Ovis aries: one gene and its partners. The protein of the gene in region 2 purifies or fractionates together with the protein of the main gene of each other region. This does not show direct contact. Links are inferred from orthologs where the notes say so. Each region holds a gene or a part of one and is shown on either strand. Other genes may lie near its edges.

Evidence for each region. The genes of interacting proteins can lie anywhere in the genome.
Region 1: the proteins of tumor necrosis factor receptor superfamily member 10B-like (region 2) and RIPK1 purify together in Homo sapiens (affinity purification with western blotting, with the first as the bait; 3 studies listed by BioGRID). This does not show direct contact. The link is inferred for Ovis aries from reciprocal best matches to the Homo sapiens genes TNFRSF10B and RIPK1.
Region 3: the proteins of tumor necrosis factor receptor superfamily member 10B-like (region 2) and CFLAR purify together in Homo sapiens (affinity purification with western blotting, with the first as the bait; 5 studies listed by BioGRID). This does not show direct contact. The link is inferred for Ovis aries from reciprocal best matches to the Homo sapiens genes TNFRSF10B and CFLAR.

What each region holds. Positions count from the first base shown.
Region 1 is NC_056073.1:49,697,616-49,701,362, forward strand, and holds the start of RIPK1 (receptor-interacting serine/threonine-protein kinase 1), read right to left. Parts: upstream 2,873-3,747; 5' UTR 2,613-2,872; exon of another isoform or gene 2,442-2,612; intron 2,165-2,441; exon of another isoform or gene 1,515-2,164; intron 780-1,514; exon of another isoform or gene 518-779; intron 1-517. UniProt on the Homo sapiens protein: Serine-threonine kinase which is a key regulator of TNF-mediated apoptosis, necroptosis and inflammatory pathways.
Region 2 is NW_024599721.1:42,249-45,964, reverse strand, and holds the start of tumor necrosis factor receptor superfamily member 10B-like, read right to left. Parts: upstream 2,849-3,716; coding exon 2,839-2,848; intron 2,005-2,838; coding exon 1,893-2,004; intron 1,066-1,892; coding exon 848-1,065; intron 490-847; coding exon 292-489; intron 1-291. UniProt on the Homo sapiens protein: Receptor for the cytotoxic ligand TNFSF10/TRAIL. The adapter molecule FADD recruits caspase-8 to the activated receptor.
Region 3 is NC_056055.1:203,444,321-203,448,067, forward strand, and holds the start of CFLAR (CASP8 and FADD-like apoptosis regulator), read left to right. Parts: upstream 1-1,281; 5' UTR 1,282-1,392; intron 1,393-3,747. UniProt on the Homo sapiens protein: Apoptosis regulator protein which may function as a crucial link between cell survival and cell death pathways in mammalian cells. Acts as an inhibitor of TNFRSF6 mediated apoptosis.

The sequences.
Region 1 (3,747 bases), on a different chromosome or scaffold from region 2:
TAAAGTCATGTTACAGAGTAATTAATGAACACACACTAACCTGTCATATCATCTTATGACCAAGTACTTTCAACAGAGAATATAACGGTCTATTTTAATGGATTTTCAAAATTAATTGGAAAATTAATTGAAATTAATTGGAAATTAATTGAAATTAATTGGAAATTCCAAGAAACTTCACAAGTTATCTGTAAGTCTATATAAAAAATATTCATATCGACATTCAATTTTGTCAACTATACTTCAGTAAAACTGGGGAAGAATACAAATAACTAACAATATATAACATCAAAAAGCCAGGGAAAATGAATCTACAATGTTAACACTTAGGGCAGTAGTTACTGAGAGGTGGAAGCAGCCAGCAGGGAAGGAAGGAAGTGTCGGGCGTGAGGGCGATACTTGTCTCTTCTTAATGTTCACTTCAGGACAATTAAGAGAGTCAAACAGTTATGATGTGTGTTCTTTTCTGTGTATCACAATAAATAATTTTTTTAAGTTAAAAAAATTTCATATTTACCTTTAAGTGGTTGAGGGCGATTTTTTTCAGTGTTTCAGTGAGGACCATACATGAGGAGTCTGACAGAAAATGCTGGCTACCCGACTATCATGACCCCCTTTTCCTCTGCACATGGAACTCTGTTTTTACTCAGGCATCCAATGGGAATTTCTCAAGGTTCTTTGATTTTAACTGCTTGATGCTTTGCCTCAGATAAACAAGAGCTCTGAGCAAGAGAGAAAACTACAAGAGTTCAACCCAGTGTATCTTGCACATGATGACCCTGTGAAGTACCAACTTATTAATACATCGGTTCCAAGTTACAAACTGAGAAACTATAATTTGGAGTTTAATGATTCACCTAGAGTAACAGATCCCAGAATTGAGTCTTAATGTCTTCACTCAAATTTCCACTATCAGTTCAGTAACACATGCTACTTCTCCAGAGAGTAAACAATAATTTGTCTTCCTTAAAATCAGATTCAAAGACCTAATCTTACAATTTTGCTCACCTATACTAAATAAGTATGCTACATTCAGAAACATAGGGAAAGTACAGACTAAATTTTAAAAACATATGAAAACATGCGGTTCAAAATCAATATTCTACAGGTTAACACGATCATTTTTGCCGAAGTATAACGTCCAACCATAGCATGGGAAGCTGTGCTTTTTCAAATTCCCAGCTCATACTGGTGGTATTACCATGTTGTTGATTAATAAGCATCCAAGAGAAATTTTCAATTTTGGAAACTGTTATTTAGGGATATTTTTCTTTATTCTCGTGAATATTCACAATCCTGAAAGTGCAATGTATCTGTGGTGCTCAATTCAGCTCAGTGAAGCATGCAAATTACAGTTAATCATGATAGTTGTTTTACCAGTAATAATAATTACGATGATGAGATACCTCAACTGCTTTAAACAAGCTTCCTCTTTCCCTTTTGTGTTTAGAAGGGGGCAGTTCCCCATACTTATAATTGACTACAATCTCCTCCCCACTCTTGCACCTACGTACCTGATGGTTACAAAACGTAGATCAAGGAAGAAGTCACTCCTGCCTTGATTTCTTCATGTGTGAATGGAGGGAGAAGTAATAGCGGTTCTATTGCAAAGTCGCTTGAGTGTAACGGGCCTCGGGCTTTGTCCAGGACACGCAAGAGCTCCGAGCAAGGAAGAGCCGAAGGAACAGCGAGAGACAAAGTAATGAACAGTAACCCCGCCTCTGTGGGAGGCTGTCCAGCGTGAGCAAAGAAGGGTGGCGCTCACCCTCTTCAAAACTCTAAAGAGGCTACGAGAGCGTGTGCGCGCTCAGTCACTTAGTAAAAGCACGCGCCACCGGGGGACGACGCCCTCCCCGCCGTGCCCGTCGACCCTTCTTTCCCAGCTCTCCTCGAAGACGGCGCGGGAAGGCGTCTGACGGCGTCGCGAGCAGCGGCGGCCCCGGCGCCCCCGTGACCCGGGGCGGCGAAAGCTCGTAACGACACCGCAGGGAAGACCGGCCACCTCCCCTGACACCACAGCGCAAACCACGTGGCGGGCCGTCTCCACCTCAGGCAGTTATCGCGCGGGAGCCAAATCTCTGCCCGGTCCCGCCAGACCCAAACTCCCGGCGAGACGAGACGCCGCAGGGACCGCCGACGGCTGGCAGTTGGGCGCTCGACTTCCGGGAGCTCGCGGGCCACGCCCACCCTCCTACTGGCTCACCATCTGACTTCCGGGAACTCGCGGGCCACGCCCACCATCCTACCGGCTCACCGTCTGACTTCCGGGAACTCGCGGGCCACGTCCACCACCCTAAAGGCCCACCGTCTGCCTTCTGAGAACTCGCGGGCCACGCCCACCACCCCACTGGCCCACCGCCAGACCTCAGGAACGCCGCGGGCCACGCCCACCGCCCGAACTCCGGCAGCCGCGTCGCCCGCCCCACCCACCGGAAGCAGAAGCCCCGCCCCCTGCCGGAAGCCTGCCCCAGAGACTGGTCTGGGCCCGGCGGTCCCGCGCTGACGCACCGAGAGATTCGCTTTCGCTTTCGCGGGAGACTTCCTGAGGCCCCAGGCCGGGTGAGGAAGGAGGCGGCGGGGCAGCCTAGAGTTGCTCCGACGCCCGGCAGTACCTGGCCGGCGCAGGCCGGGGTGGCACGCCGGGCCCGATTAGGGGTCTCCGGGGCGGAGCCGTCGGCTGGGAGGCGGGCGGGGACCGCCCCGCCTTGCCCTGCCCTCACCGCGCCCGGCTCCGCGGGCCAGCCGTCCGTCGCGTGCTGTCCAGTGGTCGGCGCGCTCGGGCTCCTCGCGGAGTGGGCCCGCTGGGGCCCCGCGCTCCGGGGTCAGCGCTCCGGGACACCGATGCGGTGTCCGCGCCGCCGGCGCTTCGACTGAGGGAGCCCGGCCGGCGGAGGGCGTGGACTGCTCGCTCCGCCTCCGCTCCTGCCCCTGAGGAGGGTGGGGAGAGCGCCCGCCCCGCGTCTGGAAAGGTCTCCGGGCCCGTTCTGAAACCCCGGGACGCGCTCAGACTGAGGATCGTGCTCTCAGAGCGGTTTGGGAGGCCGAGAGGACAGAGGAAATGCCGAGTCACGGAAACCACTCACAGAAACCTGCCGGGCGCGGCGGGCAGGGCCGGAGACGATGGGCTGCTTCCCCGGGGGATTCTGAGCTCTGCAGGTCAGCAGCGCGGGAACCCTAGGCAGCAAGCTCCCAGGCATTTATCTCCTTCACCTGTGAAGTGGGGATAATCTCTTCTGTGGGGCTGCGGAGGAACCAGCATCATACGAGGATGGTTGGGAAGTCTGAAGCAAAATGGGAAATGGTTGCTATAGTGTTATGATGAAAAGTTGATTATATATATAGCATGATTACATACTATAAAAAGATATCTGGAGGTAATGAGATGCCACAAACTGAGAAAATATTTGCAGAAAGCATAGCTGATAAAATACTGTTACCCAAAGTATACTAGAAATGCCAGAGAAGGAAAAATGCAATTGAGAAAAGGCAAAAGATCTCAACAGACTTCTCACGATACAAATGACAAGTAAGTATATGAAAAGATGCTCAATATTATAGGATATTAGGAAACTGTGAAAAACCAATGAGATGCCACCACATATTGTCTGCCTAAAATAAATGGACTGCCAACTATTTCTCTAGCATAAACAAGTTTATTATGAAAAGAATTGCAATTTGAGGTCTGCCACCCTGGGAACTTGCATGCAAATGGAGAGGACACCTTTATGGGGGAAAAGGAAGTTGGAG
Region 2 (3,716 bases):
GCCTTACCGCCTACTCCTGTGCTGTGTCCCCCAGGTGGGCAGAGACTCAGCACATCTGGGCTGTGCTGATGGCACCCAGACTCTGGTGTGATGCTAAGGGGAACTGAGTACCCCTGCCTGACACCCCCCACGCCCCGGGGCTGCAGAGTGAGGGTGTCTCAAACAGTAAGGACAGGGCCAGCGCTGCCAACCAGCCTTAGGCCAGCTCTCAGCAGGCCAGTCTCCCTCCTACATTCAACCTAGAGCCCTCAGGCCAGTTGAGGGAGTCAGGGAAAACAGCATAGGACAAACCGAGGACCACGTCCACCCTGGGCATTGTTGTGGGGCGGAAGCTGTTACTGAGGGTCTGATGCGGCCAGATGCTGGAGAAACCGATCACCTTGTGCCAGCACTCATCAGAGAGACCTAGAAGAAAGAGACAACCACTGAGTGGTGGGGAGGGCCCTCTTGCCGCACCTCCCTTCCTAGGGACAGGGTGCAGGTTGGGGGCTCAGACACTGAACAAAGAGCCCCGGGCCTGTGACTGCAAGCGGGACATTCTGAGTCTGGAGAACCCTCGGGGAGGAGACGAGAAGGGAGAAAATGAAGTAAAATGAAACCCATGTAAAATCTCTGTGCAGTGCTACTGAACCACCCTCTTCTCCTGCCTCCTCCCACCAGACTCGGCCAGGGGGAAGAGGGGACCATCAGCTGAGTTGGGGGCCCGATGTGATCACGGTTTTGTAGGACCAGGTGAAGTGGGAAGGGTTTCCTGGGGAACAAGATCAGAGACAAGCCAGGAGGAACAGGAGGATTGGGGAGATGGAGGAGGGAGCCAGCACCTCCTCCTTCCCTTCTAGAACCTCACTGTTAAAGAAGCACCATATAACACATCCAATTAGGACAATTCCAAGTCCAGCTACAATTCCAATCACCAGCCTTGAAGTGCCTGAGGAGGGAGAGGGAGTTCCTAGCTCTCCAGGAACTGGGGCCTCCCCATGGGCCAGGGTACCTGCTTCTTGGTCCACACACTTGATGTTGCTCCAGGGGGTACAGTCCGTGACCATGACCTTCCCATCAGGGCACCTGGGTACAGACACAGGGATGATGTAGGGGACCCATCAGGGACAGCTGGCTGGATGAGGAGAAAGAGGGGGCAGCCTCCCATCCTGGGTCCCCTGACAAGACAGTGGAGGGGGGACAGGCTCTTGCTGTCTGCAGGGGAGGGTCCCCTCACTCCCCTCACTGGGTGGGAGAAGGATCCAGGACTGTGTACTGCGGCCCCCAGGCTCCTACTGAGTGTTCAGAGCTGTCCTTCAGGAGCTCAGCTTCCTCTGCAAGGCCCGCCTGGCCTCCCTGGGCTGCATGCGAAGGTCTGTGAGGTGGGGGCCTCGTCCATGTCAAGGGTCAGAAGGGTGTGGACACAAGTTTGACTCATCCTCCAGTCAAACTTGAATACGAGGACCTCTCATCCACCTGTTGACTCTTCCTACCAATCTCAGCAAACACGAGCATCAGAGGATAGTGAATTACTATTGGCCCCTGAGTCCCCAAATAGGAAAGATTCAGGTGCTACTGGAGAACAAGGGGCTGGGTGCGAGCCCTGTCGAGTTGGCTCCAGTTTTATAGGAACCTTGAAGGAGCACACACGTGGCCTCATCATGACTTCTGTCTGCTGTCAGCCCTTCCATCTTTCTAGGCCCCTCCTGAGGAGACGTGGGAAAGGGCCACTGGGAAAGCCGTGCAGGACAAACGGTGGTGGTAGGGAGCGCTGCTGCAGGCTCAGGAGACCCCACAGGCACAAGGGAGCTCTGAGAGGTGGGAAGGGCTTCAAGGAAGCAGGGGAGAGAAATGGATACAAGGAAACTGGGGTCTCCTGTGGCTTGGAAGCCCCCCAGGCTCCTGTGTCTCACCTGGTGCTGCATTTTTGACAGAATTCAGGTGCCTCTTCTCCACGGAAAGGGCCAGGTTTGCACTGACACTCAGTGTCCTTGGTGGGGGTGCAGCGATTTTTTTCTTCTTCTCCTAGAGACCAAAGATAAGGTTTTGAGGGTGTGTTTCCCTCATATGTCTCTCACCCCTTCTTCACCACCCAGATCTCCATCCACTCAGTTCAAGAAGTAATTCGGAGGGCTTCCTGGCTGGTCCAGTGGTTAGGAATCCGCCTGTCAAAGCAGGGGACACAGGTTGCATCGCCGGTCTGGGAAGACCCCACATGTTGCAGGGCAGCTAAGCCTGGGAGCCACAGCTACTGCTCCTGTGCTCTAGGGCCTGTGCACCATGATGAGAAGCAGCACGGAGCAGCCCCCCTCACCACAACGAGAGAAAGCCCTTGTTCCGCAACAAAGACCCCGAACAGCCAAAAATAAATGCATTAATCTTTTTTTAAGTAATTTTGGGGTCATTTTCTGTGGCAACACACATAGACCATCCATAGAACAGCCACTGTTCACGTGTCACCAACAGAGGCATACAAAAGGGACTGGGCATCATTACGGATTGCATCAGGGTTGGGAAGAAAAATATTTTAGATCACAAATGAGGAGCAAGAAGTGGGGTGGGGTGAGGTGTAATCTGAGATGCTGTGGATGGAGAGGAACCCTTAGGTGATGTCCCAACGGGTGATGCCTTGCTGGAGAGGCAGAGGGATCTCAGGTCATGAAGACTGAGAGAGGCTGAGACCCCAGAGCGAGGGCATAGCGCCCACAGGAGGCTGGCCCAAGATCAGACACATCACACAGCTCAAACCCAGCCCTGCCCCACTCCCCCAGGCCTTCTGCACTGTTACCATCCAGCCCCCTCCATCAAGGGACACGTTATTCCCCTCTTTCCAGCTGATGTTCTGAGGGACTTCCCTACCAGTTGGCATGCGTCATGCAAATAACTTCTGTTTTCATTTATTTTACTGACCTAAGACAAGCTGAAGACCTAGCTGGGATGGAAATCAGGTTTCTGACTCCTCGTCCCATTTAAATCCCATCTCATCACCCAGCACCCTAACCGCAGGCACAGGGGACCACAGGTTCTGGACCTGATTTGCAAGTCATGCAAGGTAGGCAAGAAGGGAGGGTGTTTGAATGATTGGTGTAGTCTATCCCATCAGTGCATGGGGCACAACCTCCACTGGCTTCTCCCATATAGAATCCTGGGAAGGAAGGGAAAAGCTGGTGAGTAAACCCCACAGGATTCCCTGAGGCTGGCAGTGTGGCTGGGGAGGCCTCTTTTGGCCGTCTGTGGAATCCACAAGGGGAACTCTCCTCAACCGGGCTTTCATCTTTTGATTCTTCATCTACCACATACCCTAGACCAGTACTGCCAACAGAAATATATAACAAGCCACACATCCAAGTCACATTCACAGCTGGCACATTAAACAGTAAAAAGAAAGGTCAGGGGCTTTCCTGGTGGCTCAGAGGGAAAGAATCTGCCTGCCTATGCAGAATACATGGGTTCGATCCCTGGTCTGGGAAGATCCCACATGCTGCGGAGCAGCTGAGCCCAGGTGTCATAACTCCTGAGCCTGGGCTCTGCAGCTCGGGAGCCACGACTACTGAGCACACCTGCTGCGACTCCTGAAGCCCATGCGCCCGAGAGCCTCTGCTCGGCAACAAGAGAAGCCTCCCCAGGGAGAAGCTCAAGCACCGCAACTGGAGAGGAGGCCCCACTCTCCACAACTAGAGAGAGCCCATGCAGCAGCAAAGCCTCAGCACAGCCAAAATAAACCCATAGACATGGAG
Region 3 (3,747 bases), on a different chromosome or scaffold from region 2:
TATATACACAAAAGAAATCAAAACAGACCAAGGAAAACAAAACCCAAGAGAGTCCAATAAAGTCAGGTCAGTTCTTTTGACCTGATGAACAAAAGAAACAAAAATTAAATCAATCAGTTAAAAACAAAACTAACTAAAACAGAAAACAAAACCAAAGCAGAGTGCCAACTGAACAATAAAGCAAAGAAAACAAAACAAACAAAAATGGTGGGGGTAAAAGAGACAAAAGAGAAATGCAAAGTTAAACAGAAGTATGTAAAAAAGATCCACATATATTAAAGAAAAACAACAACAACAAAAAGAACCCCCAGAAAACAACAACAACAAAAAACAAGCCAAAAAAGCACAGAACAGCAGAAAGCTAAACAGAAATAGACTGTATAAAAGAAAAAGTAAGATTTAAAAGAATCTCAAAAACCTAAATAGAAATAATAATAGTAATAAAAATAAAAACTACAACAGAGAAAAAAGAGAGAGAGAGAAAAAAAAAGGAAAAAAAACCAGAACCCACAACAGAAGGAATCAAAACATAAGAATAATAATAAATATTTTCTCAGGGATCAGCTGTCAGCATCCTTTCCCTTCACTGTGAGCCACAGCCCATCTCCACTTCCCTAGGAGGCCCTCCAGTGCTGGGGAAAGCAGGTCGACCTGCTGTGAGGACAGACTCTGATCTGGCCCTGCTACTGGGTATGCTTGTCTCCAGTGTCTGCAGCTGCCAGAGCTAGAGGGTTTTCTTTTCAGGGAACATTCTTTGTCTTCATATATTCCACAGACACAGGGTTTACCTAGTTGATTGTATGGATTTAATCTGCAGCTTGTGCAGCTGATGAAAAGGGTTTTAATCTTTTTCCTTAGGCACTCTGCCCCTGGAGCTCAATTGTGGTTTTATCCCCACATCTACCTGAGGGCCATCCATAAGAGTCTACTCCTAAGGCTGCCCTGGAGGACTCGGGTCCCCCCGAGTGATGACCAGGAGTGGAGATGGCATGGCTGCTTGGATCGGGGAGACTCCCAGAGCACCAGGCGCCATGGGCTCAAGGGATACGACTCTAATAGTCTTTTCTAGCTTCTGGCAGCTGGTGTTTGAAGGGCTGCCCTCTCTGGGATCCTTCTCTACTGCTCAGGGGCCAGTGCTGGTAACGTGGGGAGAGAGAGGCTACATAGACGGCTCCACCCCCTGCATGTAACTTACCAGTAGCGCCCTGCTTCCGGAGCCGCCCTGTTTCCCTTCAAAGGCTGTTTCCCTTAAATCCTGCTGCAGATTTCCTCCTTTCCTTCAGGTCATCTCCTCGGAATCAGTAGCAGTCCTCGCCCTGGGTTTGCTCTCCAGTCTACATGCTCCAGCTCCCAGCTGCCATGCGCCATCGGTGGACGTGCATCCTGGGACAGGTTATGTAGGGCCGCGGCTCGGATTGTCTGTGTGGTTTTCACTCTATTCGGACTGTCATGGATCAGCTGCTTCACCCTCCGACAGCCCCAAATGCTTCCCTTTCTGTCCCAACTGATTCCTCCGGATGTGGGAATCTCTCCCCTGCTTCAGCTCCCCCAGCGCTTTCTCTCCTCTTCCTTCTCCTCTCTTTCTTTTGTCCTACCCAGATATGCGAGTATCCATAAAATCCTTTCCAGTGGTCAGGGACTCCTGCTAGTGTTCAGGCCGTGTTCTGTGAGAACTGTTGCATCTATAGATGTATTCTTGATACATCCATGGAGAGAGATGTACTCCATGTCCACCCACTCCTCCACCTTCTTGAGTCCCTTCTGTTTCTTCCTTTTTTACTGCTGACTACTGTTTCATTTTATAGATACACTCCCATGGTTTATCCATTTGCCTTTTGGTGAGTATTTAAGTTATTCCTAGCTTTGGATTATTATTAGAGGAGCTGCTATAAAAATTAATCTGCAAGTCTTTGTATATATATTATATATTATTTCTCTTGAGTAAGTGCTTAGGAGGGCTTTTGTTTTATTATATGCTAAGTGCAGCCATGAAATTAAAAGACGCTTACTCCTTGGAAGGAAAGTTATGACCAACCTAGACAGCATATTCAAAAGCACAGACATTACTTTGCCAACAAAGGTCTGTCTAGTCAAGGCTATGGTTTTTCCAGTGGTCAAGTATGGATGTGAGAGAGTTGGACTGTGAAGAAAGCGAAGCACCAAAGAATTGATGCTTTTGAACTGTGGTGTTGGAGAAGACTCTTGAGAGTCCCTTGGACTGCAAGAAGATCCAACCAGTCCATTCTAAAGGAGATCAGTCCTGGGTGTTCTTTGGAAGGAATGATGCTAAAGCTGAAACTCCAGTACTTTGGCCACCTCATGTGAAGAGTTGACTCATTGGAAAAGAGTCTGATGCTAGAAGGGATTGAGGGCAGGAGGAGAAGGGGACAAGAGAGGATGAGATGGCTGGATGGCATCACCAACTCAATGGACATGAGTTTGAGTGAACTCCGGGAGTTGGTGATGGACAGGGAGGCCTGGCGGGCTGCAGTTCTTAGGGTCGCAAAGAATCAGACATGACTGAGCAACTGAACTGAACTGAACTGAAGTGTACTTTATAACAAATAGCCAAACTATTTTCCAAGTTTTATTGTGCTACATTTCTGCCAGTAATGTATGTTGTAGTTATTTCACATTCTCACTGATTCTTCGTATTGTCAACTGTTTGGATTTTAGCCATTCCTGTAGGCTTTTAATTTTCATTTCCCTGATAACTAATGATATTGAATAGTTTCTCATGCACTTATTGGCCGTTGCTTATCTTATTTTGTGAGGTAGCTGGGCAAAGTTTTTGCCCATTTAAAAAGTGAGTCATTAGTTTTATTATTCAGAGTAAGAATTCTTCATATATTCAGGCTTTATGTCCTTTGATGATATATATTGAAGCCCTAATCTATGGTTGCCCTTTCATTTCTTTAAATAAAACAAAACAAAACATTTATTTATTTATTTGGCTGCTCCAGGCCTTAGTTGTGGCACCCAGGATCTTTAGTTGTAGCATGCAAACTTTTAGTTTTGGTGTTTGGGGTCTTGTTGCCCGATCAGGGATCCAGATCCACACTCCTCAGTGGAAGTACAGAGTCTTAACCACTGGGCTGCCGGGGAAGTCCTATTTTTATTTTTTTTTAATGCGGATATTTTGAAGGAAAGATTAAAATTTTTGATTTGTAAATGTTTTCTGCTATGAGTTGTGCTTGTTTGTGCTCTAAGAAATCTCTGCCTACCCCAAAGTTTCAAAGATTTTTCTACTCTGTTTTCTTCTAAGAATGTTATAGTATACAGCAATGAAAATCAATGAACTGTACTGACATACTACACAGTAAATCTCAATGAACATAATATTGAGCATAAAAAGAAAGGCACAGATGAATATGGTTTGTTTTCATCCATATAGAGTGCAAAAATAGTAAAAACTAAGCTGTATTGTTTAGAGATGCATAGGTAAATGGTAAAACTTATAAAGTCAAGAAAATTCTTATCTCCAAATTTGAGATAGTGGTTATCTCTTAGGGGAGAACGTGGGTTATGATAAAGGATGGGCACACAGAGGCCTCTGAAATGATCCTATTTTGTGCCTTTGGGTGGCAGTTACATGGATGTTTGATTTACCATTCTTTATTAATATATGTATTTATGTTTAGTGCACATTTTTGAATTTGTTTGCATTTCACAATCTTCAAACATTCAAGGAGCCTTAACTAGATTATTATTCTTAACTCTGGGATTAAAAAAAAAGAAAAGAAAACC